Linked DNA regions of Alligator mississippiensis. The protein of the gene in region 2 interacts with the protein of the main gene of each other region in a pairwise test. Links are inferred from orthologs where the notes say so. Each region holds a gene or a part of one and is shown on either strand. Other genes may lie near its edges. The genes, in order: FAM221A, HOXA1, CHRD and RGS17.

Evidence for each region.
Region 1: the proteins of HOXA1 (region 2) and FAM221A interact in binary tests that used the Homo sapiens proteins (3 or more experiments, as listed by UniProt). The link is inferred for Alligator mississippiensis from reciprocal best matches to the Homo sapiens genes HOXA1 and FAM221A.
Region 3: the proteins of HOXA1 (region 2) and CHRD interact in binary tests that used the Homo sapiens proteins (3 or more experiments, as listed by UniProt). The link is inferred for Alligator mississippiensis from reciprocal best matches to the Homo sapiens genes HOXA1 and CHRD.
Region 4: the proteins of HOXA1 (region 2) and RGS17 interact in binary tests that used the Homo sapiens proteins (3 or more experiments, as listed by UniProt). The two-hybrid records come from large-scale screens. The link is inferred for Alligator mississippiensis from reciprocal best matches to the Homo sapiens genes HOXA1 and RGS17.

What each region holds. Positions count from the first base shown.
Region 1 is NC_081828.1:158,549,443-158,556,381, reverse strand, and holds the start of FAM221A (protein FAM221A), read left to right. Parts: upstream 1-3,936; 5' UTR 3,937-3,965; coding exon 3,966-4,036; intron 4,037-6,687; coding exon 6,688-6,861; intron 6,862-6,939.
Region 2 is NC_081828.1:156,073,299-156,080,776, forward strand, and holds HOXA1 (homeobox protein Hox-A1), read left to right. Parts: upstream 1-4,478; 5' UTR 4,479-4,641; coding exon 4,642-5,296; intron 5,297-5,481; coding exon 5,482-5,565; intron 5,566-5,778; coding exon 5,779-6,134; 3' UTR 6,135-7,226; downstream 7,227-7,478. Other genes in the region: HOXA2 (homeobox protein Hox-A2), read left to right, coding at 1-445. UniProt on the Homo sapiens protein: Sequence-specific transcription factor. Regulates multiple developmental processes including brainstem, inner and outer ear, abducens nerve and cardiovascular development and morphogenesis as well as cognition and behavior.
Region 3 is NC_081830.1:83,523,809-83,531,077, forward strand, and holds the start of CHRD (chordin), read left to right. Parts: upstream 1-4,256; 5' UTR 4,257-4,420; coding exon 4,421-4,559; intron 4,560-4,696; coding exon 4,697-4,800; intron 4,801-6,091; coding exon 6,092-6,218; intron 6,219-6,799; coding exon 6,800-6,919; intron 6,920-7,179; coding exon 7,180-7,269. UniProt on the Homo sapiens protein: Dorsalizing factor. Key developmental protein that dorsalizes early vertebrate embryonic tissues by binding to ventralizing TGF-beta family bone morphogenetic proteins (BMPs) and sequestering them in latent complexes.
Region 4 is NC_081824.1:131,938,358-131,946,139, reverse strand, and holds the start of RGS17 (regulator of G-protein signaling 17), read left to right. Parts: upstream 1-4,769; 5' UTR 4,770-4,902; intron 4,903-7,782. UniProt on the Homo sapiens protein: Regulates G protein-coupled receptor signaling cascades, including signaling via muscarinic acetylcholine receptor CHRM2 and dopamine receptor DRD2.

The DNA.
Region 1 (6,939 bases), about 2.5 Mb from region 2:
CTTCCCACTTGCTCTTTTTTTTTTAATACCCATTTACTAGGGATCTTGTAGAAAGTGACAGAAATGAGTATCAACAATTGTATTTGGTAGCTTATCTGAAGTTAACCCTACTTGGGCTCTGTCATGACCCAAAGGTCTGATTTTTTTGTGTGCGCTTCGGCACTAAGAATTATCCCCGTGGGTTTACAACTTCACTGCACGGAGGAGTTCTGCTGCGCAGAGAACCCGTGTGCAGGGGAGTGTTCCCGCCACTTTGCAGCGATCTTTGCAGGGTGCATTTCCTCTGCAATACAGAAATGCATGGTGCAAAGGTTTCCCGCTCGTCGTATGCAAATTTGTGCCCCACAATTGGCTAGTTCTAAATTATTCACACGTGGCGGTTAGCGATTGGCCTGCTAGCCGTATAAGAGGCTTGAGCAGTTTCCGCCCAAGCCGAAGAGGACTCCGCATCCATCTCGTGGGGACTCTGGGTGTGCGCGGCAGGGTAATAGAAACCCTGTGTGTCGCTCAGAGGGGTTTGGCGGCCTGATCCACCGCCCACCTCTTCCCGTCTTCGAACGGAGCCTACTATAAGACGTAACGACGAGTTTAATGCGCGCTTGTCCTGGACATCCGGAGTTTGTCTGCGTGGAGCCTAGCAACCTCCACGTGATTGTTCGTGTTTTGTCTGCGTGGAGCCTAGCAACCTCCATGTGATTGTTCGTGTTCTGTCTGCGTGGAGCCTTGCAACCTCCACGTGTGTTCGTGTTTTCTGTTGTAACCGCAACTCAAGCAAGTTCTCAGCCTACACCACGACCATCTCGGTGTAAGTAAAATAATCTTAAAATCAACCGTTACGTGTCTGTGCCTAATTCTAGCTCGGCGCCCGCCCTCTCCGACCCGGCCTGCCCGGGCTGCTGGCCACAGCCCGTGTGCAGAGCGACGAAAGCGACCTGGGGTCAGACCCGGCGCGTGCAGGCTCTAGGCTTATAGAGACTTGCAAGCTAAACCACGTAAGAAGACCTTCAAGAAAAATCCACCTGCTGCTGATTCTGTGTTTAGGTGCCACTCTTTTCTCCAAGTATGATTCCCTATATAGGGCTTTTTCACTCGAGCTGCTGGAAGAATCATGTTTTATAGAATTCTGAAGTGAAGGTCATTGTCAGTTTAAGACACTAAAAAGACCATGATTCATTTAAGAAATGTCTATATTGAATTCCAGTTTCTGTATTTGCATTTGGGATCTCAACATTCCTTCCTGAATTTGAATTGGATATTGTCTTTATTTACTGTTCAACACTATCCAAAGGTAGACTGCATTTCAGCTGTAAAACAATTTTGGCACATAAAAGGCTCAATAACCATGCTTATGTGCAATCCTGTCTACTTGTTGAGAGAGTTCCAAGTTTACAGGAGTGTGTATAAGGTGCCTTTGAAGTAACATTTCTTGTCTAAATTACTGATAAAGGCAAAATGGCTTCTGAGTGACTACAAATGTTTTTTTTTGTAAAATGGGCAGACAAAGAGAAGTATAAGACCTATGAGGAAGCATGACAGAATATTTTAGAGAGTACATAAAACATGGGAAAATGCTTAAAAATTTCACATCTTCAGAACCTGATACTTGAAAGATGTGAATAAAGTTCTGATAATTCAGTTCTTAATGCTGAGTAAAGGCAATGGTATTCTTTTTTTTATAAATGCTTTTCTAATTCATAAAATGAAATATTTGGATTGTATTAATGATGTGGAACAAGTTTTCAATTAGTGCATATTATCCTATTACCACCACAACCACACACCTTTCTCTGAAAAAGGGCCTATTTTTTACACTAGGAGCTTTGCATACAGAAACAAAATCTGTCTAATCAACTAAGGGAAAGATTCACTTGACATAAGTCAGTTTGCTAACAGTCATGTTGTTAACTTCAATTGCCACAGTTACAAACTGTGACTTGGTCTTCTGTTAGTCAACAGAACAGTTCTATTGACTTTAAAGGACTGTGGGAATCAGGCATGAAAAACTGAACTGTTTGTGCTTGTAGTGTTTTTCTTTTACACAGTAAGCTCTTAGGGTTTTTCTTTTATTGTATATGGCCAAACATGAATCTGTGAATTGCCATACATACCTACCTGATCATGAGCATGGATTTAGTTAGGAGTGGCAGTTACCAGAAAAGCTAAAATCCTTACAGCCCATGTCAGTTTTGGAGTTTAAATATGGCTGGAAATTTAAAAGCTGGAAAAAAACAGTGATGACAATTACACACTATGCAGTCTTATCTACACACACAGCTTTCGTTGTGATGTTACAGTGGTACCCCCCCACCCTCCTTTTTTTTGAAGGAGGCTTATACTAGGACAGCCTTCCTGTACAGGAAGAGGAATAGGAACAACTCAACAAGGCTGGTTCACCTTTATAGTAATATAACTGTGCCCATGAGTGGATCTGGGAGTGCAAGTGGTATAGTACATCCTCATGTATAACAAGGTATCCTTTTCTCAAACTTGGAGAAACTGGACATTTTACTAATAAGCTAGGGGCAAAGGGCTTTATTTTTTCAGTTTAAGATAAGAGCAAAATAAATAAATATGTCCTTGGAATGTGCATTCATTTGTTATATCATTTGTATAAAAATAATCAAGGTAAGTTACTTCATTAGTGCTGCAGTCATTAGAATTAAATGGACATATTTTTCAGATTCATAAAACAAAATCTAGCTTCCTTGAGACTCTTGATAGCGTATCCACTGCTTGACTGACTGCTACTTACATACCTGAGTAAATGTTCACCTGTGTTAACACTGTCACACCTGAGTTAATGTTTTTAGCTAGAGTTAAAAACAGTCTGCAGGACAGTGAAATAGGAGATACATTACCAAGAACCATTAACAGAGAGCAAAATTACATAAGAAAGACTTGCTTGGCTGAACACCAAGACCTTTATAACCGAGAGAGGGTCATTAACACCTGTGGAAGGAAGAATTTAGAAGGAATCAGGTAGATTTGTACATGAAGTCAAACAACTCCCTCAGTGTCGCCTCAATGGAAATGCTGCTGCCACTGCTGGGCAGCTGATTTTTTACTTTGGGTGGAGCAGGAATCAACTGCACACCCACCCAACGCTAGAGCTTTTACTAGGGCAAGGCTCCTTCTGGTGGGGGCGTGCTTTCTTTTGAACCAACAGGTTATTCTGGCAAAACGTCTGGTGCAGGCATACTTAAAGCAGGCTGACATCACGCATTCTGCTGGCCTCCTGGTTTAGTTGGGGGTCCTTGCGACCAGCAGAGATGTGCCGGCAATATATCCAGCTGTTTTTTGCTGCTGCAGCCTTTTTTGTTGAGGTGGGAAAAAATTGTGCCAGCAGCAGGAGCGCTGCTTGGGGTACAAGTTGTGTCTGCTGTAGGGCTGCTTTATGGCTCCCGAGCACAGCAATGTGTGTGCGTGCAGCGCAGTGCAGGCCCGTGTGTGTGTGCGTGAGTGTGCAGCAGTCAGGACTCTGTGCGTGCGTGCAGCAGAGTCAGGGCTGTGTGTTTGTGCGTGCAGGACAGCCAGGGGTGCGTGTGTCAGTCACAGGGATGGCCCCTGGTGTGTGGGTGTCAGAGCAGTGTCCCCTGGAGGGTGTGTGGGGGGGTGTATGTTTGTGTATATGTAGCACAGTCAGGGCCGTTTGTGTGTGAGCATTGACCCTGGAGAAGGGTGTGTGTGTGTGTGTGTGTGTGTGTGTGTGTCCGTGTCCCTGGAGGGGTTGTGTAGCACAGCTGCAGCCCCTGGCGGGGAGGGTGTGTGTGTGTGGAGATGTGTATGTATGTGCGAGTCCCAGGGACGGCCCCCGTGGCGTACGCGCGTGTTTGTGTCACAGCGATGGCCGCGCAGGGGGGAGGGGGTCGCGTGCCCGAGCGCGTGTCACAGCAACGGTGCCGGCGGGAGGGCGGGCGGGCGCGCGGGGCGCTGTCTCACGCCCCGCCCCCCGCAGCGGCCGGGCCATGGAGCGGCTGCGGCTGCGGCTGCAGCCGGGGGCCGCGGCGGCGGTGGAGGAGTACGCGGAGTACCGCAGGTGAGGTGCGGCGCGGCGCGGCGCGGCGCGGCAGGGGGGATTTGCTGTCGCCGCCTCGCCCTTACTGCCGGGCCCGGCGCTGCACGCGCGGTTCCCGGGTTTCTCTGTTCTTGCAGTCGCTCCGAGGGCGCGGGGGCGGCCCGGGCCTGGGGCCCCGGGCATCTTTGTCGGGGCAGGGGGCAGAAAAGAGCAACAGCTCGGGCTGGAGAAAGGCTGGAGTGCTGCTCGGGGAGGCTGTGGGGTCATTTGTGTCACGTCTGCCTAAAGGGTTGATGTAGCCCACCCCTCCTGCTCCAGGCAGGATCATCCCGATCCAAACGGTCTTATCTAAGTGCCTGGCGAACCTGCTCCTAACGGTGGGCTAAGCTGGAGCCGTTATCTAGGGACCTCCAAAATCCCAAGACCTCCCGGCTCGTTCTCTTCTGCCCAGTTGGTATGATTTGGAACTGATGTGGCTGATTTGACTTGGAACACAAGGTAGATTTAACCTCCCCCCCATACAACCCCCCCCCCCTTAAAATTTATGCACGCCCTCAGGCCTTGGGCCTGCAGGTAGGATGCCTGCCAATGGGTTTGGGAGTATTTGAAGCCCCAGGTTGGAAAGTGGGGGTGGAGGATACTTGCTGGTTGTAGCACCACAGATGGTGTTTGAATGATTGAGTGTTGCTCAGTCAAGAGGATTCAGAACTGACTTGGCTGATTTGACCTGAAATACAAAGAATTTTCCAAAAAATCAAATCAAAACCCCTCTTAAAATTTACGCACAGTAACCCTGTCAAACCACAAGGCAGTTTGCCCAGAAACACTGTCAATGTCCTACTGCTGCAAGGTTGTTAAAATACGTTCAAGAGGTCGAAGGATTCAAGATCACACCCCACAATACAGAGGAAGGCAAAAATCCCCACGGTCCATGCCAGCCTGACCATGGAGTCAAATTCCTTCCTGATTCCAAAGGTGGCAACTCTCTAACCAGGAACCTCTGGCTTTCAGTTCCAGTGTGAGCATCAAGACACCCCTGTCAAAATCTGCCTTGGCTTCACCCAACACCCAGTGCTTTTGAGGAAGGCAGACCCGCCACCCAAAAAACCTCCAAAAATTCCTACCCGGACACCTGTAGCAGCACGAGGGGAAAACATTCCTTGACAGCCCCAGGTGGCAACCAGCACAGCTCTGAAGCGCAGGGAAAAAACAAACACCAAGTAATGGATGTTCTAACATGAGAATGAGTACCTTTTTCTGCTGCCATGTATAAGCTCATTTTGTTATTTCATCACATGAGAAATATTGGAGATGAAAAATATGTTTCTCTTCCATGCCCAGGCCTGTTTGTATGTTGCCTGCCTGCCTAAGATGATACTTTTGTATTCCAGAAATACAAGCTGACACACATTTTGACCTATTTAAAAATATATGCAATATGGAGTCTCTATGTATGTTTTCATCTAGACTTCATCCCATTAAAATGCTCACTTAAACCACATTATATAATGACTTTCTATTGTAATAATCATATATGATATGATAAATTATACAGTATTATCTTAGTTTAGTAACACTTTCAATAAAATACCAAAGGTACATGTGATTATTTTTATACAGTCATTTCTACATACATATCCAAAGGGCTTTTTAAAGGTATGTAAGTACTGATATCGTTACAATATGCCAAGTGTCTATTATAACACCATAGTACTGATGGGTTACACTTCTGGTGCAGACACAGGCTATGCCAACACGAGTTTTTCTACCCCCAAAGTTAAATCAAGTCCCCTTAACAACAGAGTAATACCTTTCTCTGCCAGCAGTGCTATATCCCCAGCAGGGTTTTTTGCTGGCAGAGCTTTAATGATTCTGGGGTGTAATCTTTTCATGCCCCTAGCAAACATAGATCAGCCAGCAGGCTTTGTAGTATAAATCCAAACAACTCTGTAAGTCTTGAGTGTTGTAATGCAGTCTGGATTTTCTCACTCAGCAGAGGGGTTAACTTAACTGTCGTAGTTTACTCTGCCCTTAAGATGTAGATTGATGAAGTGATGCACCAGAGGTCACACACAAGTCTAAGACAGTGAAGTAAAGATCCCTGGATAACTGACAACTCATCCTTTGTTTTCTTCTGTACAGGATAAAACTTGATAGCCTGCATTTCCCCCTTTTCTTCTTTCCTTCCTTCTAGCTCCTCTTAAAACACTTTTCAGATGATGATAGCAAATTTATTTAACAGCCTGGCCCTGGGCTGAGAATGTGTCTAAAAGCTCAAGTATATCTCTAGCATGGTATTGTGGGAGATACAGTTTTTAGTGTTATTTCAGGAGTTCTCAAACTTTGTGATACTGCAACCCCAAGTGCTGGATGGTGACAGCAGGGGACAGGGAGCTCGCGTGGGGCAGCTTCTGCTACCATCCACCACTCTGTACCATTGCCACACGCTGCTTCCCCGCGCCACTGCGCATACCCCCTTGGGAAGTTTGCAGCCCCCTTTTAAGTTGCTCACGACCCCTCCAGGAGGTTGCAACCCACAGTTTGAGAACCTCTGTGTTATTTGCTAGTGCATCACTGTTCATAGTTCTCAGAAGTGTAACTTACTGGCATTTGTCTTTATTTTAAAAAATCTTCTTGGTTTTTCATAAATAATGATGTATAAATGTTCACAGAATTGTAGGTGAGGATGATGGAGGAAAACTCTTTACTCCCGAGGAATATGAGGAGTATAAAAGAAAAGTGTTACCAATCCGGTTACAGAATAGATTGTATGTGAGCTGGAGATCACCAACTGGCATGGACTGTAAGCTAGTGGGCCCAGAGACACTGTGCTTTTGTACCCATAGGTAAGTTGTTTGGGGGTTTTTTCTGCCATTTTTTAAAGTTGAGGAATGTAAATCATTTAAGGATAACATTTTAGTGCA
Region 2 (7,478 bases):
ATCCCTCTTTGAACAAGCCCTCAATAATGTCTCAGGGGCTCTTTTGGAAAGGGAAGGCTACACTTTTCAGCAAAATGCACTATCTCAACAGCAGGCTCAGAATGTACACAATGGAGAGTCCCAAAGTTTCCCAGTTTCGCCTTTAACAAGCAATGAGAAAAATCTGAAACATTTTCAGCATCAGTCACCCACTGTTCAGAACTGCCTATCAACAATGGCCCAGAACTGTGCAGCTGGCCTGAACAATGACAGTCCTGAGGCCCTGGATGTCCCTTCTTTACAGGACTTTAACGTTTTCTCCACAGATTCCTGCCTACAGCTTTCAGATGCAGTTTCCCCCAGTTTGCCAGGATCTCTGGACAGTCCTGTAGATATCTCTGCTGACAGTTTTGACTTTTTTACAGACACACTCACCACAATTGACTTGCAGCACCTGAATTACTGAGAAAAGTCAAGACCTCCTCTCGCCAAGGGTTCTGCCTTCCTTTTTGAAATGACTTAATTTTATTTTCCTTTTTCCTGGTCAGTATTTTCTGTTTCTTAATTCCCTTTGCTGTGTTTGAGAGCCATTTTACCGTTTCTTTTGGAGTTTTAGTTGTGTTCAGTTTAACCTAGCCACATCCTAGGTCCTTCTATGAAAGCAATATCTGAGGCCTGTAAGAAAGTGATCATATAGAATTGTATCGTCACTTTCTTTTTATTTTTGTATTGCATTAGGATGCGTTGTCATAAGTATTTTTGGTAGAATAAATTCTTGTTTGCTACAAGTAGCTTTCTCTTTTTCTTCCACCCTCTTTCTTCCTCACCACTGGTAGTCTAACGGGTCTGCTGCTGCTGCTTTTTTCCTCCTCCCCCTCCTAATCTAACTTCGGAAATAAAATTAAACAATCCGCTCACAACCTCTCTCCTTTTGGTAAAGTGACATATTTATTAGAGAGAAAAAGCACATTCCAATTCTTTATTGAAAGGATTCTTACAAGCAATAATTATTATTATTATAAAGCCTGCGCTCAAAGCTTACACAATTTCCTCCTTTTAACCTGGGCATATCTCGAAGAGCTTCTATTATCTGCGTGTGAATACAAATTTCGGGTTTTCTAGACTGTAACAAAACAAAAACCAAAAAACCCCAAACAAACAAACGTGCAGCTCTCTCCGTTACAGACCAAATGTAATCCATAGGAAATGGCAGGAATGCTTTGCTAGAGACACTGGCCTCTTGCTGTAGTAAAAGGCTGGGTTAGAAATTGCTAAGCTAAACCTCCGTGCGTCCAACAATTCGTTTTAAGGAAAACTTCTTTAAAAATACAAGCACAGTGCGCGATTGCTTAGCTCCCATGTGCTGAACGCGTCCGAGAAAACAAACCTACAAAAAAAAAAAAAAAAGGAAATAAAAAAAAATACAAGTGTTATTATTTGGGGGTGGGGGGGATAGGACTGCATTTCGGAAGGCTGTAGACTGTGCTAACGCGATTCCTCCCGGGGCTCTGCGGAGGCAGGGAAGGAGGCTTTTTCTCCATAAACCTCTTTGCGGTTGCCAAACTCTTGCTTCATTCGTTTAAATTTCAATGGAGCCCACTCAGCAGCCCGCTGCCCCATTCGTGGCGCGGTATAAAACCCCCACAGAGGATTGCATTGGAAGACCCGTCGATATTTTTAACACAGCCGAGAGTGCTAGGGCCAAAAATCAAGCAACAGATGGTGGCAGGGAGAGTTGCGGTTCCCAGAGCCAGGCGATGGCGCGGATCCCCGTGTGTTGTGTCTGTGCGCGGGGAGAGCTGGCCGGCGAGGCGTCCAGTTGCGCGGGGCACTTTATGTCCTCTGCCTGCGAGGAGGGTGGTTTCCCCGCTCTGCAACACGTTGTGGAGCTGGGTCGCGTGGGTAATGCCTAGAAGGGCTGGCCGCGATCCTTCCTAGCCTCATAAATCAAACTCTCTCTCTGAATGAGAATGTCATCAAAGAGATCAATTGCAGGAACACATGCACAAATAAAAACCCTCTTACGTATGTGCCGGGGCTGGGGATCCCCGTCTAAAACCATTAAGTTAGAAGGCGTTTAGTCATAATTCATTTTTATTGCTCTTTTAAAACAACAGCTTGGCTGGGCTGCGGGTGCGGCACACCTCTCCGGCCTGCTCCTGCTCCCTCTCCCTGCTCCGGCTCTCTCGGCCCAAAAGGGGCTCGCTCCCTCGCCTGGGGGGAGGATTTTAACTCCTGTTTAGCTGGACTCGTTCAGCTCCCACTGGACCGATGCCCTGCAGGCACCCCGGGCCTGGAGGTGGCCACGTCCTAGTGAGAGATCGGCCGCCCTGAACTCTCTTCCCCGATCGCTTTGCAAATCAATACATCTCCGCGGAGCGATTGTCTCCCGGGGAAGCCCTGAAAGCTGCCTGGGCGCTGGGGGCAAAAGACGGGGGGTGGGGAGGTGAAATGGGGAGAGCGTCAGAGTGGCGCCTAGGGCACCGGGAGGGCAGCAGTGGCTTGGAGATGCCCCCCTCGAAACCTTCTGAGATCTAGGGTGAGGCTGGGGGCGGCGTAAGGGGGAACAGAGCTGGCATAGAGCCCTGCTCTGAAGGCTTGTCTCCATTTGCCCCTACTCTGCCTCCCCCACCTCATTGTGCCGCGCTGGAGCAGACACAATGTAACAAAAGGGCGGATTTCTTCCCCACCATGGCGAGGAAAGCGAGGGCAAGGCAGCCGGGCTGCGGCGGGGGTGTCCAGCTGAGAGAGGGACTTGGGGGTAGCAAGTGATGAAAAGCGGGGTAATGCCTGGGGTGGTAGGGGGGAGCCAGCTCTCCAGTAAGCGGTCCCTGTGGCTTGCCTCTGCCCTGATCTCCACCCAGCTGGGGCAGGCAGAGGAAGTGCCCCTCCAGCCTTTTCTGGAGCCACAGAGGCGGAGTGCAGGCCGCCTCGTGCATCTCAGGGAATCCCCTGCTTCGCCCCCCCGCCCCCAAGCCAAGAGTGTTGAGCAACTCAATGGCTCCAAGCGGCCCTGGCCTGTTCATGGCGGTGCGGGAGAGCAGCCCGGAAGGGGGAGGGCGGCTCTTTTGTGCCTAGCGGGTGGAAGGGAGACATCTACCCGCTTCCCAGTGGCAACAGCGGGGCTGCGGGGTGCAGGGCGGCGGGCGGAGGTGGCCGCACAGGGGCACAGACGGCTGTGGAAAGCCGATCCCGGGGGTGTGGGGGGTAGTGGGTGAGGGGGAGAGCCAGGGGGCAGGAGCCTTTGAGAGTGAAACCAACAATCGGGCAGGGGGCCAAGGCAAAATAAGGCAGGGCTGAAGTGCACCTGCATGCCCCCTCCCCCCGAACCCCCCCCCCCTCAGGGCGGACTTGGCAAAGAGGCAGCTGCAGCCTCCCCCAGGGCACATCTCTCTCTACGCATCTCCCTGGGGCTGCGGCCGGGAGAGGGGTCCTCTCCCCGCGTGTGCATTTGAGCACGCCCAGGCACAGGCAGGGGAGGTATCCACACCCACGCGTGGATCTACGGCACCTGGGCCCTGCTTGTCTGCATGTGCCTGTGGTAGCGCACTCACACACCAGTCCCCATCCCCACCCCCGCACACGGACCCGGCTTTCCCTAGCTGGACAGAGGGAAAGTTTGAGCCCATCTTGGGGGGGCGTCCCCCGGGAGCCTCCGCCACTGACCATCTGCTGGCTCCCTGCGCTCCCGCCCCATGACAAAGCGGCTCGCAGGCTGACAGGGGCCCCGCTCCCCCCTCCCCTCCCCTCCCCTTCCCTTCCCTTCCCTTCCCCTTCCCCTCCGCCCCGCCGTGTCATCCGGGGCTTGCGTCTGTCTGCGCCGCGGAGCTGCCCCGGCAGCTGGGCTGGGGCGTGCGTGTGCACGCTTGCGGGGCTGAGCGTGGCACAGCCCGGCCCGGCCCGGCCACGTCGGCAGCCCCCCTGCAGCTGGCGGCTGCCCGGGCACAGGGAGCCCCGCGGGCTGCCAGGCACCTCCCGCAGCACAATGGCGTGCGATGACCCAGGCGCCTCATTGCCATGCTAATGTCCGCGGGCTGCGCAACCCCTTTAACTCTTGGCGGCGCAGCGCGGGAACACTCCCCCCCCCCGCCCTGCCCTGCGCGCAGCCCCTGCCCCAGCCAGCTGGGCCCCGCGGAGGCTGCCGCAGGATTGGGGAGGGGAGGGGGGGGGTGCTGGCTGCACTGACAGCGCCAACAATAGCAACCACGCACCGCCCCGCGCCCGGGGAGCGGGGGGCCCGCAGCGGCCCCGGCTTACCTGGCAGGCGGCGTCCTCCAGCCCTGTAAATCCAGGCAAGAGCAGCCCCCCCCGCGCCCCCCCTCCGGAGGCTGCTGCGGGCTGAGCGCCTGGGCGCGCACTGTCTCTCCGGCCCCGGCTCGGAAGCCCCAATGCACAGAGTGGGGGGGCGGGCGGGGGAGGGAGGTGGTGGTGGCTGCGCGTCACCTTGATGGAGGAGCGCTCGGGATTTAAATGCCACTGAAACGGTGATCCATCACCAGCAGGAGCTGGGAAAGTTTAGCAGGAGGCGCAGCCATTGGCTGCGGCCCTCACGTGTCCCCAGCTCCCTGTGCATCCATCTCGCTTTTCTCCTGGCCCCATGGAGGAGGTGAGAAAGTTGGCACGGGCACCCGGGGCGCGGAAGACCCGGTCACTCCGTGACAGATGGACACGGCGAGGATGAGCTCCTTCCTCGAGTATCCCCTCCTGAGCGGGGAGGCTGGGACCTGCTCCGCCCGCGCCTACCACCACCCCGAGCACGGGATTACAACTTTCCAGTCCTGCGCGGTCAGTGCCAATGGCTGCAGCCCAGGGGACGAGCGGTTCCTGGTGGGCAGGGGGGTCCAGATCAGCCCCCCCCACCCGCACCCACACCCGCATCCGCACCACCCCCAGGCGGGCGCCTACCAGCACCCCGGCAGCCTGGGCATGTCCTACTCGCACCCTAGCTGCGGCCCGGGATATGGCAGCCAGAACTTCAGCGCGGGGTACAGCCCCTACTCCCTCGGCCAGGACGCAGATGGCAGCGGCGGGTACCCCCAGTGCGCGCCCGCGCTGTACTCGGGCAACATCTCCCCTCCCGTGGGCCAGCAGCACCCCCCCCAGCACAGCTACGCCGCGGGCTCGGCGGGGCCCGCCCAGTACATGCACCCCTCCTACGGAGCCGAGCAGCAGAACTTGCCCCTGGCCGGGTACAGCCACCCCCTGTCCCCTCTGCACGCCAGCCACCCGGACACCGCGCGCTCCCCCTCCGCAGAGACCTCGCCTCCAGCGCAGACCTTTGACTGGATGAAAGTGAAAAGAAACCCACCTAAAACAGGTCAGTCGCAATCAAAGTTTTGTTTTGTTTTGTTTTGTTTTTTGGTGGTGGTGGGGGGATTCTCTCCTCTTTCTCTCTGTTTTGGAGCAGCAGACACAAGGCAGAGCGCCCCCCCCCCCCCCCCCCCCCCCGCACCTGTGCTCCCCGTGGCCTGCTGTTTATCTGGATTTTTATTTTTTTTACAGGTAAGGAGATCTCCGGCAAGGCAGCGCGGACAAGTTCACCCCTCTGCCATCATGACAGTCCAGGCTCTTATTTCCGCCCCCGTGGTAATATGTCTTGCGATTCATAGCCCACTCATCAGGCTTCCTTTGACACTAGTGGCTGGCTCCAGCTTAGCACGACCCACTCCATCACTCACTGCCGGGCTCCCCCGCATCCCGAGGAGTTCCTGCTCCATATCGCTCTGCCCGTGTGTACACATTGATTATGTCACCTCTAAATCATCGCACTTGCTTAAACTTGCCCTATGCTTTTCACAGGGAAGGCGGGAGAGTACGGCTACGTGGGGCAGCCCAACACGGTGAGGACCAATTTCACCACGAAGCAGCTCACGGAGCTGGAGAAGGAGTTCCACTTCAACAAGTACCTGACCAGGGCCAGGAGGGTGGAGATCGCTGCTTCGCTGCAACTTAACGAGACGCAGGTGAAGATCTGGTTTCAGAACCGTAGGATGAAGCAGAAGAAAAGGGAGAAGGAGGGCTTGCTACCCATTTCCCCGGCTACCCCCACGGGATGCGAGGAGAAAGCAGAAGAGTCATCAGAAAAGTCAAGTTCATCCCCGTGCACCCCTTCACCAGCCTCCTCTACCTCAGACGTCCTTACTACCTCAAACTGACACATCCCTGGGCCCCACCCTATAGCTACATCTTTAGCGTACCCTCATTGATTTAAAGTAAATATATATTTTTAAATATTCGGGTCATCCTGACGTTCAAATAACTTGTTCCGTGAGCATTTGGGTTTAGAAATACCCTCGGCTGTTTATTTAATGCAGAGCTAAACACAATGGGTTCTAATGTCAGTTTTTGATGACCACTTAATTAACTAGTCCTACATTCATTCCTTACATTCCAGCAGGAGTTGTGAGTTTTTTTTGTTTTTTTTTTTTTGTCTCCTTAGCACATTTATAAGGGTCTCCCTGTTTCCGGAGAGCCAAATTGCAAGGATGTTTCTATATTTTTTCCCCTACAGAAACACAAAGCTATCGAGAGTACATGACCTCATGATGAGATGCACTATTGAAAGTGTTTACACGAGTTATAGAACTTTCATCCATTAATTTAATGCGTTCTCTTTTTTCGTGTGTATGGGTTTGTTGGTTGTAAATACTTTGTCCAAGAGATTTATCTTTTTACAGATTTTCTAGAAATGATGTTTAGATTAAGCAGGGTGGGTACATTCTCAAAACTGGATCCAATTTTATAATGGTAAACCTGATGATATCAGTTAAATTTGCAATCAGATACCTCGAATTGTAGCACCATTTTTTTTTATGAGACAGAAGAAGGCTTCAATTGCACTAGGTTTTGTAAACCTTACTGGTGTGCTCCCCCTCTCCTCCCCCTCCAGAAATCTGTGCTGGATTATATTGGACCTAAAACGGTATTTTATCCCCCCCAAAAGACCTCACCTATTCCTATTTTCAAAGTAATCCTTCCTTCGAGTTGATGTCTTTTCAGCCTAATCGTAAATGTGATGACTGGCCAAATGAATGTATATTTTCTGTGATTCGTGTATGGAACTTTGCATGATGCACAATGCTTTGATGTACTGAAGGTACACTGAGTTCTATCAGTTGTCATTTGTGAGCTAACTATCTTTCTGATTTACAATCATTAAAGGTTCTGCGGTTCTGTGAGTGATGGAATCCAGAGCAGAATTTACGGGTCCTAAAATGTCTGTAATAAATATATTCAAGTTTCAGGTACACGTTGTTTTAGTGCATGTGTGACGTCATTGATCACCTACCTAGTTAGCTTCCTTATTCTCCTGGCGTGGCCTTCGAGACGCTATTCAATAAAAGACCTTTCTCCTACTCATTATTTTGCTGAGGCCAGGACTCTTGTGTGTCCTTTCCACAGCGCCCAGTATGCGGCATCGCACCAGCCTGGGGGGTGTGTGTGTGTGTGTGTGTGTGTGTGTGTGTGTGTGTGTGTGTGTGCGTGCGTGCGCGCTCGAT
Region 3 (7,269 bases), on a different chromosome or scaffold from region 2:
AAGCTTGGGAGCGAGTGCGAGGAAATAATAAAATCCATGTGTGACAGACAAAAGGCAGCTGCTCCCCCCACCCCCGGTACCTGTTAGCCCCCCCCCCCCCTTGTCCCCCTCCCCTCTCCTCCTTCCCCCCCAGGGTCTTTGTCTTGGCCGCCAGAGCCCAGCTCCAGTTGTGCAAATACTGCGGAGCTCGCCATAATCCCCACATCCAACGTGAGTTATGAGATGTTTCCACAGATCACAGTGAGCCAGGCTCTGGGGACCAGGGCCTGGCCTGGGCGACCGCACACCGCAGGCAGCCAGCCCAGGCTGGGCCGCAGGGAGGGGGGATTAGTCATGGGAAAGCTCATCCCAAGGCTGGGGGGGCCTGGCACTTTCTCCCCCCCCCCACATGTGAGTCACCAAAGGAGGTGCTGGAAGCTCTGGGCACCCACAGGAGGTGCCCCCAGCCCCCTGCAGCTGGCCCTAAGGTGCAGGGCAGGGGCAGAGGGAGCCAGGGTAGCCAGGCTGGGTGCTGCTAACAGGACTGGTCCACTGTTGCCCGGTGTGTTCAAAGTGCAGCAGATGCCAGCAGACAACGGGGGATGCACAGAGCAGGGCTGAGGGCAGCAGAGGTGGGCACAGAGATGTCTTCCAGGGGGGCTGGCCAAAGGAGGAGGGATCTGGAGCAGCGCAGAGCTGGGCCATCATAGTCCTAGGTGGAGAGTTAACAGCAAGCCCCAAGCTCTCCACCAGGTGCAGGAGGCTGTGGGGGCGTGGCCTCTGGAAATAGGTGTGGCCACCACCTTGGGCAGGGCTGGTTTTAGGTGGGGGGTGGGGGGTGCAGCACGCCCGTACCCGACAGGAGCACCCTGGGGCAGCTGTAAGGCAGGGGCATGGGAGCTTGCATCTTCCCCTTGCCACTCGCCAGCCCGCATGGCACAGGGACTCATGCCCCTCCCAGCCCCCTCCCCAGCGGGGGCACCGGTGGGGCTGGTCCATGAACTCCATGCAGGCCCCGCTGTGCCCAGCCAAGGCACCGCTGGCGCCTGTTTCCTCACCACCCGCACATCAGCTGGTGTCCTGCAGTGACAACTCACGGCCAGGACCCGCCAGCTGCCACCAGGCACGGATGTGCTGGGTGCAGTCTGGTGTAGCCAGGCGAGGCTGTCACAGCTGAGCATGGCCCACCACACCAGCCTGCTCTCGGTGGGGTGGGGTGCTGGGGCCAGGGAAGCAGGCCAAGCTGGGTCCTGCTTGAACTGGCAAAAGGAGAAGGGCCTCTTCTGCTCTGCAGTGGGCATTGCCCCTCACGCGCCAGCCCTGGGGCACAGGGGTGCCCCCAGCATACCAGGCTCCCTGCAACATTGCAGGGGAAGAGCTGGAAGCGGCTCCCAGCTGCAGCACTGCCCAGAGCTGCAGGCGGGAGGGGGGGCTGGGGGCTGCTCTTATGAATGCAGCATTATGGCTGTGACAGGCGCAGATACAGCCTCCTGGGGACACCCCCCCCCCCCCCGCCCAGCCCCCCGCGGCTCTGTCAGCTCCCAGCCTCTGCAGCAGCTGGAGGAGTTTGCCTGGATTCCTGCCCCCTGCGGCTCCACACCCCTGCCTCCTCACTGTGCTCACACACACATGCACACACACACGCACACACACGCCAGCTGCCTGCTCCGGGATAGGGTGGAAGCAGTCGGCACGTGGTGCGTGGTGTCTGGCTGAACCAAGGAACGCCCCCACCCTTTTTTTCCCCCCCTGCTGGAACAAAGGACCCCTCAATCCCAGTTTCACCCCCTGGCTCGTGAAGGGGCTGTGGGCAGCTCATGCCCCCTGGTGCCTCAGTTTCCCCAGCTGGGGGGCTCTCAGCTCCCATGCAGCCCCTCCAGCCTTGGTTTGCAGCCATCAGTGCAGGCCCTGAGGCACATTTGGCTGCACCGTGACAAGCGCTTGGGGAGAGGTAGGAGGCAATGCTTTCTACCCACCCTGGCTGGCCAGAGACCCCAAGGCATGCCAGTGACAAGGGTCTGGCCTCAAGTACTTACAGCTCCATACTATAGCACCCAGCTGTCCCCCTGCCCCACACCAGCACCCCCAGACTAGTGAGTCTGGTTCAGGGGCTCAGTCCTTAACCCCTAGGCACTCCCCAGCCCGGGGGTATCCCGAGGGGCCTCAGGTTGCAGACACATGACATTTATTCCTGATTAGTCTCAACATCAGTAAAGCGGAGGGACAGCACATGGCACTGATGCTGGAGTAAATGCTGGTCTCCACTGTGACTTGATTTCTGGGGAAGCCAGGAGGAAATTTCCATTTGCCAGTTATCCCGGGATAAAATGCTGAGTTATCCCGGGATAAGTGCTGTGACAGGGACTGTGCATGGCCACTTCCCCATGCGGGTGAAGGAGCTGTGGTGGGAGCTGGCTCAGGACAGTGGATGGGACCCAAGGACCCTCCCACACCACAGCTCCTTGCGCTCCAAGAGCAGGGGGCACCATCCAGCTTGGCCGAACCAGCACTGGTCCAGAGCTGAGCCCTCCAAGTGGGGGCCAGGATGGGAATACCAGCACGTGACAGATGTGGGTCACAGGGCTTGCGGGGTCAAGGCAGTGTAAGGCCTGTAGGACCAGCACAGAGCAGCCGTGGGGTGAGGAGCCCATCCAGTGAGTGATCGGAGTAGATAGAGTCAATGGTGAAGCCCCAACTGCATTCCTCAGCTTAGAGCTGGCTCATGGGGAGCCCCTTTCTCTGGCCCAGCAGAGAAAGTCTGCCTCTGTCTTGGCAGCAGGCATCTACCCATGCCTCGCCCCCGGGGCCAGCACCCACGCACCTGCTGGCTGGCTCCCCAGCACCGCTGCATGGAAGGGACCCAGGCATCCCCAGGCCCCGCGCCCGTGGCAGCTGCCTCCTGTCAGCAGCAGCTTCCCTGGCTGCCCGGCACAGCTGGCCGGCATGTGTGTGCGGATCCACGTTGATTTTGGCAAGGCTTCTTGGAGCGCGCTGCATTGTCCCAGCAGCACAGACTGCCTTGGGGCTATGCACCCTCCCCTGGCAGCCCGGCCAGCCAAGGGCTAGCACCCTGCACCCCCAAAGGGTGGGTCCAGTGGTGGGCTTGGGCACAGCCCCCCAGAGGGCCAGGGCACAGGCCTGTAGCAGGGGCTTAGGGTAGGGATCTCACTAGGCCTCTTGAGTTTTGGCTTTGGGCTAGTGCTGAACTACCCTGCCAGCCCTGGTGCCCAGTGGCTGGCATCTGCTGTGTGCAAGACAAGGGGCAGCCATGTCCCCCCTTACAGGCTGCAGGACCTGGTACAGCTTTGCCTCAGGGCCAGGGGGCTCAGGGGGACCCTGGCTAGCGGTTGTCTCTGCAGTGCTGATAGCCAGGGGACAGCTCCTAAGCAGCTGGGGCTGGGCTGGGAAGGGGCTGGGTTCACCTCGCCTGTGTCTCCTCCACAGTCAGTGCCCCCTGCTCCCTTCGAGGGCCCGCAGGGCATCAGCAAGGAGCCCTGGCTCCCAGCAGGAGATAGCGCTGGCCCCCGTGGCTGCTCAGGGCAGCGCCCACCCCCTTGTGCTGCGGGGCCGGGGCCGGGGCCGGGGCCGGGGCCGGGGTCGGGGCCGAGGCCGGGGCCGGGCTAGCGGTGCGGGCAGCTCATCCCGCAGTCCGTCCGGCCCGGCTCCTCGCGGGGAGAGCGGTGGAGCGGGGCAGGGGCGCCTGCGGTGAGGCGTCGGGGTGGCCGGGCCGGGCCGAGCCGGGTTGTCCTGGGCTTTGGCGATGTAGAGGGTTGCCGTGACGTAGAGGGGATCTGGGGTGCGGTGACGTAACGGGGCCCCGGGACGTGGAGAGATTGCACGGGGCGGTGACATAAGGGTGGGGTTGGGTGCGGTGGCACGGGGGGGTCCCAGGAGCGGTGACACGGGGGGGTCCCGGTGCAGTGGCGCAGGAGGGGGTCCTGGGTGCGGTGACACAGGGGGTCCCGGGTGCGGTGACACAGGTGGGTGTCCCGCTGCTGTGACGCAGGGGGTCCCGGTGCGGTGACATAAGGGTGGGGTTGGGTGCGGTAACTCGGGGGTCCCGGGTGCGGTGACACGGGGGGGTCCCGGTGCGGTGACTCGGGGGGTCCGGGCGAGTGCAGCGCTGTGCGGGGTCCCGGCTGCGCCGCCGGGCTCCGGGGCTGCCGGGGCAGAGGCAGAGGCAGTCCCGTCCCGTCCCGTCCGGTCCCGCGGCTGGTGGAGCAGCGCGACCGCCCCGGGGGGCCGATCCCGCTCCGCTCCGCTCCCCCGCTGGGCCCCGCGCCCGGCCCGGCCGCAGCCTCATTCGCGGAGCCTTTGTTTGCTGACGATCCTGGGCTCTGCGCTGCTGCCGCCGCCTATAAAAGCCGGCGGGGGCCGGGGCCCGGCGCAGCCTCCCCGCCTCGCCCCGCCGGACGCCTGGCTCCCCCGGCCCGGCCCGGTCATGCCCGCCGCGGCGCTGCTGGTGTTGGGCGCGCTGCTGCCCCTCGCCCTGTGCCCGGGCCCCGGCCGCGCCGCCCGCCCCAAGCCCGCCCTGCCCATCCAGCCCGACGCGGAGCCGCTCCCCGCCCGCGCGGCGGCAGGTAGGAGCCCCGCAGCCCCGTGCCCCCGGGTGCTCGGCCGGCCTGGCACGGGCGGCACGAGGGGAGGGATGCCCGCTCCGTGCCCCGTGCCCCGTGCCCCGTGCCCGGGGCCGTGCGCTCAGGGTGCGCTCCCGCAGGCTGCTCCTTCGGCGGCCGCTTCTACGCGCTGGACGAGTCGTGGCACCCGGACCTGGGCGAGCCCTTCGGCGTGATGCCCTGCGTGCTCTGCTCCTGCCAGCCGGTACGTGCCGGGCTCCGGGCCGGGGGAGGAGGGGGCGCACGGACCCCCTGCCCCGGACGCTTGGGGTCGGTCCTCCGTGCCCTGCGGAGCCAGGCGCAGCCCCCAGGCCCCTCCCCATGGCTTTCCCGCTCCGGGTCCGGGGCTCCGAGGGAGCAGGGCGCGGCCAGCCCCCAGCCCCAGCTCACCCCCTTGCATCACCGCACATGGGACCCAGCCCCAGCCCGCCACCCTGCATCACCGCACCTGGGACTCAACCCCAGCCTGCCCCCCTGCATCACCGCACCTGGGACTCAACCCCAGCCTGCCCCCCTGCATCACCTCATGGGGACCCAGCCCCAGCCCACAGCCACCCATCACCGCCCGGGGACCCAGCCCCAGCCCACCCCCCCCGCATCACCGCGCGGGGACCCAGCCCCAGCCCGCCACCCTGCATCACTGCACCTGGGACTCAACCCCAGCCCACCCCCCCCCGCATCACCGCGCGGGGACCCAGCCCACCTCCCTGCATCACCGCACCTGGGACTCAACCCCAGCCTGCCTCCCCTGCATCACCGCGCAGAGACCCAGCCCCAGCCCGCCCCCCTGCATCACCGCACCTGGGACTCAACCCCAGCCCACCCCCGCGCATCACCGCGCGGAGACCCAGCCCCAGCCCGCCCCCCTGCATCACCGCACCCGGGACTCAACCCCAGCCCGCCCCCCTGCATCACCCCGCGGGGACCCAGCTCCGGCCCAGCCCTGTTCATCCCTGTCCCAGCCTAGTCCAAGTCCTGTCCCAGCCCACCCCCTGCATCACTGCACCCAGGATCCAACCCCAGCCCTGGCCAAGCCCGGCCCCAGACCATCCCATCCCAGCCCCAGCCCCAGCCCCAGCTCATGGAGGATGTGCAGCCCCATTGCATTTCACCTACCCCAGCCCCCAGGGCTGCAGCAGGCAGCTCCCCCATCAGGCCCTCTTCACCCTGGAGAGGTGGGGAAAGGTTGCCCCTGGGTCCGTGCTGCCGAGGTCTCCTGGAGCAGTGAGGTGCCCTGCCATTTACACGGGCACATGCACACACGTATACACATACATGTGCCTGCACCCACACATACACTCATGCACATACCTGCACACCTGCACAGGCACATGTGCACATGCATGGATGTATGTACACATACACATGCACACACACGAGTGTGCACACATATATATGCATCCATGCATGCACACACCCTGCCTCCCCCGCAGCAGGCAGGCTCCCTGCATCCTGCCCCCCACAGCCCCCGTGCACACACCTCTCTCCCCCTGCAGCAGAGGAGCCGCCGAGGGAAGGCCACGGGCAAAGTCAGCTGCAAGAACATTAAGCACGACTGCCCCCCCCTGCCCTGCAGCGAGGCTGTTCTGCTGCCAGGCCACTGCTGCAAGTCCTGCCCCAAGGGTAAGGCTGTGGCTAGGAGGGGATACTAGGCATAGGCCCTGGCAGGACCGGGCCAAGCTGGGCGGGGAGGGAGCTGTGGCTATGGCTGTGGCTGTGGCCATGGTGTGGGCTGAGGTGTCCTCATTTCTCCCCGTGGAGAGAATTTCCCTGTTTGTTTGGGTCTCACAGCAACGGGAAGCGGTGACCAAAGACATGTGACGGGCCAGCCCGCCAGCACAGGCCAGGAGTTGGGGCAGGGGGTGACTGCAGGCACCGGAAGGCCTTCCCTTGGAAACCACCCATGGGGTCACAGCCAGGGGTGGCAGGGTCCCTGCCCCGAGAGAGGGTGGCAGGAATGCACAGGGCAGCAGCCTGCTCCTTCCCCCCCATGCCTACCTGCCTCCCACCCTGGATGTTATAGGGCCGTGGGCTGTGGCTGGCTTATAGGCAGGAAGGCCAGAGAGGCATGCATTCCCCTCCTGAGCCTGCCCAGTCCTGGCAGGACAAGCCCGGCACAGCCCTGCCTTTCACTGTGCCTCAGTTTCCCCTCCATTGCGCTAGAGGCACCAGTCCCTGACCCAGAATGTCTCCTCTCCCCTCAGCTGAGAAGAGCCGCGAACCACCCCTGGATGGCTTTGAGAACTTCCAGGACAAGGACAGCTTGCACAATGACCGCTCCTACCTCAACACCGAGGACCTGGCACGGGATGACAGCCGGGCAGGTAGCTCCGGCCTGACCAGGGTGCCCATGGGCTGAAGGCAGCTGGGATCAAGATGGGGCTGAGGCAGGGGCAGGAACAGGAACAGGTGCTGAAACAGGGGCTGGCCTATTACTTGCAAAGCTGAGGCTAGGAGCTCCCAGCCCTGGCATGCAGCCTGCTCTGGTGCCACCTGAGAGGGGGGGGGTGGCATTCTTCAGGTGCCCAGACCTCCATGCCCGCCAGTGCCCCTCATGCACTGACCTTGTCTCCCCCTGCCACAGAGTTTGTGGCCCTGCTCACCAGCGCCTCACAGCCTGAGTCCGGCGCCGTGGCCAAAGCCAGTTTCACCCTCGTGCGCTCCTACCTGCTTT
Region 4 (7,782 bases), on a different chromosome or scaffold from region 2:
CTGGAACGGGTTACCTAGACAGGTGGTGGAATCTCCATCCCTGAAGGTTTTTAAGGCCTGGCTCAACACAGCTCTGGTTGATCTAGTTGGAGGTGGTCCTACTTTGAGCAGGGGGTTAGATTATATGACCTCCTGAGTTTCCTTCCAACCCTAATTTTCTATGATTCTATGACCTCAGGATTTTGGTGGATCACAGACTCGGAGCCAGTAATATAGGATCATAGGAAACTAAGAATAAAAGGGACCACAGGAGGTCATCTAGTCTACTCCCTGATTAAGGCAGGATCATCCCTGACGAAACCATCCCAGCCAAGTGTCTGTCTAACCTGCTTTCGAAAATTTCCAGGGATGGAAATTCCACAACTTTTCCAGGTTGCCTGTTCCAATGGTCAACCACCTTCATAATCAGAAAGTTCTTCCTGATCTCCAACCTAAATGTCCTCTGCTGCAGCTTGAGGTTACTTCTCCTAGTTCTGTCCCCTACAGTCACAGAGAAAAGCCCATCTTCATCCTATCCATAATTGTCTTGCACGTATTTGAAGGGTGTTATCAAATCCATCCCCTCGCCCCGGGTCTTCTCTTCTCCGGACTAAATAACCCTAATTCTTATAGCCTTTTCTCATAAATCGTGTATTACAGACCTCTAATCTCTCTCTCTGTTGTTGTTGTTCTTCTGCTCTGCTGAACTCTTTCCAATCTGTCTACATCTTTCTTGAAGTGTGGAGCCCAAAACTGGACACAGTAATCCAGGAGAAGTCTCACCATTACCAAACAGAGTGGAAGAATCACTTCCCTTGATTTACAAGAGATGCTTCTGTTAATACAGTTTGGTACATTATTGGTTGTGGTTTTGTTGTTCCTAGTTTGTTTTTTGAAACAAGAGCACACTGTTGGTTCATACCGAGGTTATGGTGAACTGTAACTCTCAGGTCCTTTTCTGTGGTACTGCAGCCTAACCAATCATTCCTCAGTCTGTATTTGTGTATCTTAGACTTACCTTTCAGAGGATCCACCCAACCCAGTATCATCTGCAAATGTGCCAAGTGTGCACTCAGTCCAGTTGTCCAAATCACAAGTGGAATTTTACCCCATGGTTAGATTGGTATTGACTCCAGGGGGTCTCTACCTGGGATTTCTTGAGTGTATATTGACATTTTATACAAGCATGACATTGGCTGCCATGGTTCTCCTGCTTTACTTGTGGCAGGTTTGCGTGTTAAGTCTATGTTGTGTCAGGGTTGAGGGTAGTTTTATGTAGAGTTTAGATTATGATTATATGGGATGTTTTGGATAGGGATGATCCTGCCTCAGGCATGGGGTTAAGCTACATGATTTATAGAGGTCCCTTCCAGCCCTACTTCTCTAGGACACTATGTTTAATGATATGTGGCCCAGAGTCCTGGGGAACCCCACTTGATACCTTCTCCCAACTAGACATTGAGCCATTGATAGCTACTCATTGGATGCATCTACACATGTCAGTATGGTGACGTTGTTACTGTGCCATGATTTAGTATTTCCAAAAGGAAGTAACAGCCCATACTGCACCGTATGTACAGCGCATGCTTATTTTTAGCAGCTACTTTGCCGTAGCAGCATGCTATACTGGGGGAGCATGTCACTTTGGCAAAGTAGCTGTTGGTCATGTGTAGATACCTGCAGCTGCTACATCACCATAGCACATTGCTACTGTGACATAGTGTCATATGTAGATGCACCCAAAGAATAGAATATTCCAAGAGTGACTTGGATGAGGGCATGGAGAGCATCCTGTCCAAGTTCGCAGATAATACCAAGTTATAGGACAAAGTTAACACACCAGAGGGTAGGGAATGGATCCAGGCAGATCTGGACAGGTTGGAAAAATGGGAAGAATGAAATAGGAAACAGTTCAACAAAGACAAGTGCAAAGTGCTGCACCTGGGCAAAAAGAACCACCAACACTTACAGGCTAGGGGATGACCTTCTCAGCAGCACAGCAGCAGAAAGGGATCTTGGAGTCATAGTTGATTCCAAGATGAACATGAGTCGTTAATGTGACGAAGTGATGAACAAGGCTAACTACACTTTATCATGCATTAACAGGTGCATGACAAACAGGTTCATGGAGGTGATGCTTCCCCACTCTGCGGCACTGGTCAGGCCCCAGTTGGAGGCACTGCATCCAGTTTTGGGTGCCACACTCCAAGAGGGATGCGGAGAATCTTCAGAGGGTTCAGAGGAGAGCCACTCATGTGGTCAGAGGCCTGCAGGCAAGGAGAGACTGAGGGACCTAGATCTCTTCATCCTTCACAAGGGAAGGCTGGGAGGTGACTTTGTGGCTTCCTATAAATTCAGCAGGGGAGGGCAGCAGGGAATAGGAGATACTCTATTTACTAGGGCACCCCCTGGAGTAACTAGGAACAATGGCCACAAATTGCCCGAGAGCAGATTTAGGTTGGACATTAGAAAGAACTTCTTCACAGTAAGGGCTGCCAGAATCTGCAAAGGGGTTCCAAGGGAGGTGGTGCTCTCCTCTACCCTGAGGGTCTTCAAGAAGAGACTGGAGAAGCACCTACCTGGGGTCATCTGACCCCAGTGCTCTTTCTTGCCCAGGGCAGGGGGTTGGACTCAATGACCTACTGGGGTCCCTTCTGACCCTAACACCTATGAATCTATGAAACCAACCAGTTATGGATCCACCTTGCAGAGCATTCACCCAGTCTGCATCTTAGCTGATTCATTAGAATTTTGTACATCAAGGGTTAACTTTGAGGCCATTCCCGTTTGTAGTCATTATGAATGTGTTTACTGAACAAATAAGATGACCACCTTGGAATGTGGTCTATGTGGATGACATGGTCATTTGAGCTGAGAGTCTAGAGGAAGTGCAAGCTGTATTGGACCGATGGAGAGAAGTGCTAGAGGGAACAGAAATGAAGATTAGTCTATCCAAAATGGAATATATGCACTGTGATTTCTCTTAGGTACCTGATATGGGAAATGTGATAACTGATGAAAAACATGTTTGAAAAGTTGACAAGCTCAAGTAGCTGGGGTCAACCATTCAGCAGAATCCAGTTAGATGAAGAGCTGAATCATTGAATAAGGGCAGGGTGGACAAACTGGAAATTGGCAACAGGAATATTATGCAACAGAAGAGTATCAGTGAAGCTGAAGGGGAAAGTCTACAAGACATGTGTATCCAGCACAGAAACATGCCCCCTGAAGAAAGCTCAAGAAATAAGACTGAACATGACAGTATGGGTGAAAGGGATATGGCTTCAATCAATTATTTCTGACAACTGAAGTTGAGGTGGTACACGTGGAGGCCCTTGAGATTTCAGTCATCTGTGCTGCCCTTTTGTTATTTAAAAATGTAGACCAGATTTTCACATCTAGGTATACAACTCAAATACAGGCATTTAAAATTAGGCCCCAACATCCTTATTTAGGCATCTATGCAAACCAACTCTGGTGTCTGAAGTGCAGAGCAATGACTTTCATATGCTTAAGTTCTAATCACTAGGAATCTGTGGCGTCAGTGCCAGGATTCAAGGATAGAGTCCAAATGATTATAACTGTTGTTCTCTGATAATTGGATTTGGGGTTTGGAAAGAAAATACAAGTGATGCCCATGCTTTTAGGAGCATTAACTTTATGGGGCTGTTTCATTTCAGCTGTGGTAGAATCAGAACAGTTTTGGCCTCATTTTCTTGTAGTGCTATACCACCACAATTTATTGGGATCTCAGTTATTCTGGTGGAATAAGAGGTGCGGTGTGGATGTTAAATAGAAGGAAGATATCCAGTCAGCAGCATTCAGGTTCCAAATTAACATTTTTGCACCTTTCTCCTATTATGATGTGTTGAGAGCCAGATTGTTTTGGTTGACTAGTAGAAGCAACATCTGTTGTCTGTTTAGATGCTAGGATTCCTAGAATGGGAGTGGGATTCAACAAAATCCAGAAGCCAAACAAGTGTTTCTCCAAAATGGGTGCACCGAGGCATATCAGAGTCCAGATTTTTAAGGTGCAGTGGGTATAGTAAACATGTGCTCTATTTAGACAGTGGCAGCTGTGAAACTCAGGCAAAATAATTGGCAACATCGTCCAGGCTTCAGAAGCTATCGCCACATGTTTACACTCCTGCTTCAACTAGATGTGTTGCAGTCTGAAGCACCCACACTTCTCTGTGGAGCGTGGGTGGCCAAAACGGTGTCCAGGGGCTGGGTCCAGGTTTGGGCAGCATTTGCACTGAGGTGCATCAAGTTTGGGGCTGTTTTATGTGCGTGCAGCAAAAGCAACAGCTAGCCTTTCTTTCTCTATTTGCACAATGGGGGAGGGACAAAAATAGGTGGCACCCAGGTAGGGCCGAGCCTTTGCCTTTTCCAGTCGGGATGCATTCATCCATGATGCCCGTTTTCCATTTCAAAGACAGAGAGGGCAGCTGTCCTGACTCGCCCCTGGCATCTATTTAAAGAGAGAGGTTGGGAAACATCCCACTGATCCATCACGCATCACACCAGGTGTCTTCAAAAGCCATCCCTGTAATCCAGCCTGGCTCGTGCCCGCCGGATCCCACGGGGCTGGGACCAGCATCGCCCAGGCTGGACCCCTCCCGCCTGCACGGCTCAGCGGGAGCTCCCGGGGGCCGGGGCTGGGGCCGGGCCGTGAGTCACAGCCTGGGGACAAGCGGGGAAACTCCAGCTGCTCGGGGAGGCTCCAGCGCTAGTGGCAGAGCGCATGTGCGCCGCCTGCCTCTCCTCTCCTCTCCTCTCCTCCCTCCTTTCCTCTCTCTCTCTCCCTGCCGGCTGGGTGCTGAAGTTGGGCGGATGGCAGCAACCCAGCTCCGCTAGGACCAGCTGCACCAGCCTTTCCCTGGGATCGCTCCGTGCCAAGCGCGTGCGTCCAGGCGGGGCTGGGTAAGATGGACTGGGGCTGTTTGTTTGGTTTGGGGGGGGGGGGTTCTTTTTGTTTTGGGGGGGGTGGGGGGTGGATTTGAACCTGAACCTTGGGAAATGACACCAAAATGTCTGCTTGCTCCTGGTGCGGGGGGAAAAATAATAAATTAATAAATACAAGAGAGATGGGGAGCGGGGGGAGAGGGTAAGGGATGGAGGGCAGCTGCAGAAGCACTCACAGGGGGGACTGCCTTGGGTGTGTGTGTGTGTAAAAGGGGCAGTGAGCAATGGATCGGCGGCTGAGACTGCAAGTGTGTGTGTGTGTGTGTGTGTGTGTGTGTAAAAGGGGCAGCGAGCAACGGATCGGTGGGTGGGTATGGGGGGGGGGTGTGAGTGTGCCTGTCGCTCCCCTGCACGGATGCACAAAGGGGCTGGGTCCCGCGGCTCTGGCGGCGGCATCCTCCCCGGTGCCCGCGGGTGCTGGCGCTGGCGCTCCGCGGCGCGAGGGATCCCGGCGAGGGGCGGTGATGGCCGGGGGCTGCAATGTTACACCCGCCGGCTGGCACATCCTCAACCAAGGCTGCCTCTCGCCCTCCCGCATGCCCCCACAGCGGCTGCAGGCTTCGTGCTTGGGTCGGGGGGGGCGAGGAAAGCCATCCTGGCTTTCAAACGGCAAGGAGATAAGAGAGATGCCCCTTGCCTTTCCTCCACTGCCTCGCTTCCTTCCCCGCGCAGGGGGCCCGGGCTGCCTCCGGATCGCCCACCCCGGCGCCGGGGATCCGGGGCCGGGCGGGTCCCGGCCCTTCATTGTTAGCATCCAGCCGGCCGCGGCTCGAGCAGGGGGCCGGGAGGGGCCGGATCCGCGCCCCCGCCCCCGCCGGGAAGATGTCGGAGGCTGGCGGAGGCCGGCTGGCCGCCCCCGGCCCGGCTGGCAGGGAGGGAGGCATCCCCGCGAGCTGGGCAGCGGTGCCCGCCTTGCCCGCGGCCAGCGCCCCGCTCCCGGCACCTCCCGGAGCCCGCACTCCGCCTGGCAGGCAGGCGGGTTTCCTCCCAGGGAGGAGCTAGTTTCCCCTCTGATCCCTTCAACCCCGGGTTTCTTTTTTTTGCGAGAAATGCTGACCTCCCCCCTCCCTTGAGACGCAGATGGAAGGTCCTGCCTAGCCACCTTGGGCTCCTGCAGCGCGCCTCCCTCCTAATGCTCTGGCCCAGCTTATTCCAGCACTGGTGTAAGGGCGCTTTAGAGCTCAGAGTTGGGGCGTCCAGGACTTTGGAGGGATAATTCTCCCCCCTCCTCCCCATCCTAAAGAGTGTGGCCCCCATGTGTCACCAGCACAGACCGGTTTATTGAGAAGTATTTAGGTATCCAGCTCCTATTTATGTGCCTAACTCCCAGTGATTTTAATGGGAGTCCTTTGCCTGGACACCTTGTTGAGCCATGTCTAAGATCTTTCTGAGCAATGAAAATGTGGGCAAAAATATAAAATAACCTAAGTGAATATTGTGATTGTATCAGATGCCAACCCAATAGCTCCAGAGATTGTAGAAACAACATTTACGTTTTCATACATCAGTGCATCAGTCTTTACCTTTGATCTTTAGTGACCTCAGAGTTTTTCACTGTCAGGGAAAATGGATGAAACAGAAGAATAGGCTGCACTGGAGGAAAGCTGGGGAAGGGGAGTTAGCGACTGGCTATGGATGTTATAGCTAAGAAAAAAATAACCAGCGCTGTGCAGCTGCACCAAGTGAATTCCCGTGTATTTCCATGAATGCTAATGTTATTATAAGACTTAAGAAATGTTTAGGTGACTTCAATTCTTACCCATTGAAGTAAACAGAGAGGAATTACCCCTAAACACTGGTAAGAAACATCATCTTATATCTTTGAAGGTATTGTTTTGTTGTTGTTGAGATATCCCACCCTATCCAGAAAGACTCAGAGCAGCTTACAGATGAACAACCCAAAAGATAAGAAACAAAAATAAATTCCCCAGTGGACACCCTAAAACTTTAAAACTCTACCCTATACCACCCATACCCATTTCCTGCATATTACTCAGGTGAGCAAATCCTCTGGCCCATTGCAGCCATGCTTCCCAAGACCCATTCTCAATTAGGTGTACAGAAACTTTTTTCTTTTCCTCCCACTCCTTGCCTACCCAGAAGCATAACAAGCAGAGTTGGTGCCCTGGGCAAGCCCTGGGGGAGAGCTGGGGGGGGTCATGTAGTTTCTGAGAGAGGGGGCACAGGTTCAAGAGTGGGGACGTGGTTCGCAGAGCAGTCTTAACCATGCTGGGGACTCTTGGCTGAGCTGCTGCTGCCCCTACCTCCGCTCTTAAAACAGCAGCAGCTGGGAAATTTTTTGGCCCTGGGCAGAAAACAAGCAAGTGAGTGAACTGTGTGGCTGCTCTTGCTTCCAGGACATGGACTCTGCAGGGCTGGGGGTGATTTCTGTGCCTTTCTTAACTTTTTGCCTACTCTCCCACCCCTAGATATAATACTGCCTCCACATGCACATCTGCCCCTACTCCCCTGCCTTACATCCAGGGGAGATACCCTCTCCTTCAATGTTCCTATCAAGTCTACTCCCCCAGTCTATCATTACTTGACCAAATGAATATCCACAATGTGCACGGTACCATGCACACACACAAGAGTGTGCAGGCTCTGCCCCAAAGAGCTTATAATCTAAGTACTAAGTCCAGATCAACAGAGGTATTTAGGTATCTAACTCCTATTTATGTGACTAACTCCCAATGATTTTAATGGGAGTCCTTTGCCTGGACACCTTGTTGAGCCATGTCTAAGATCTTTCTGAGCAATGAAAATGGGAAAAACTATAAAATAAATAATGTAAGTGAATATTGTGATTGTATCAGATGCCAACCCAATTACTGTAGA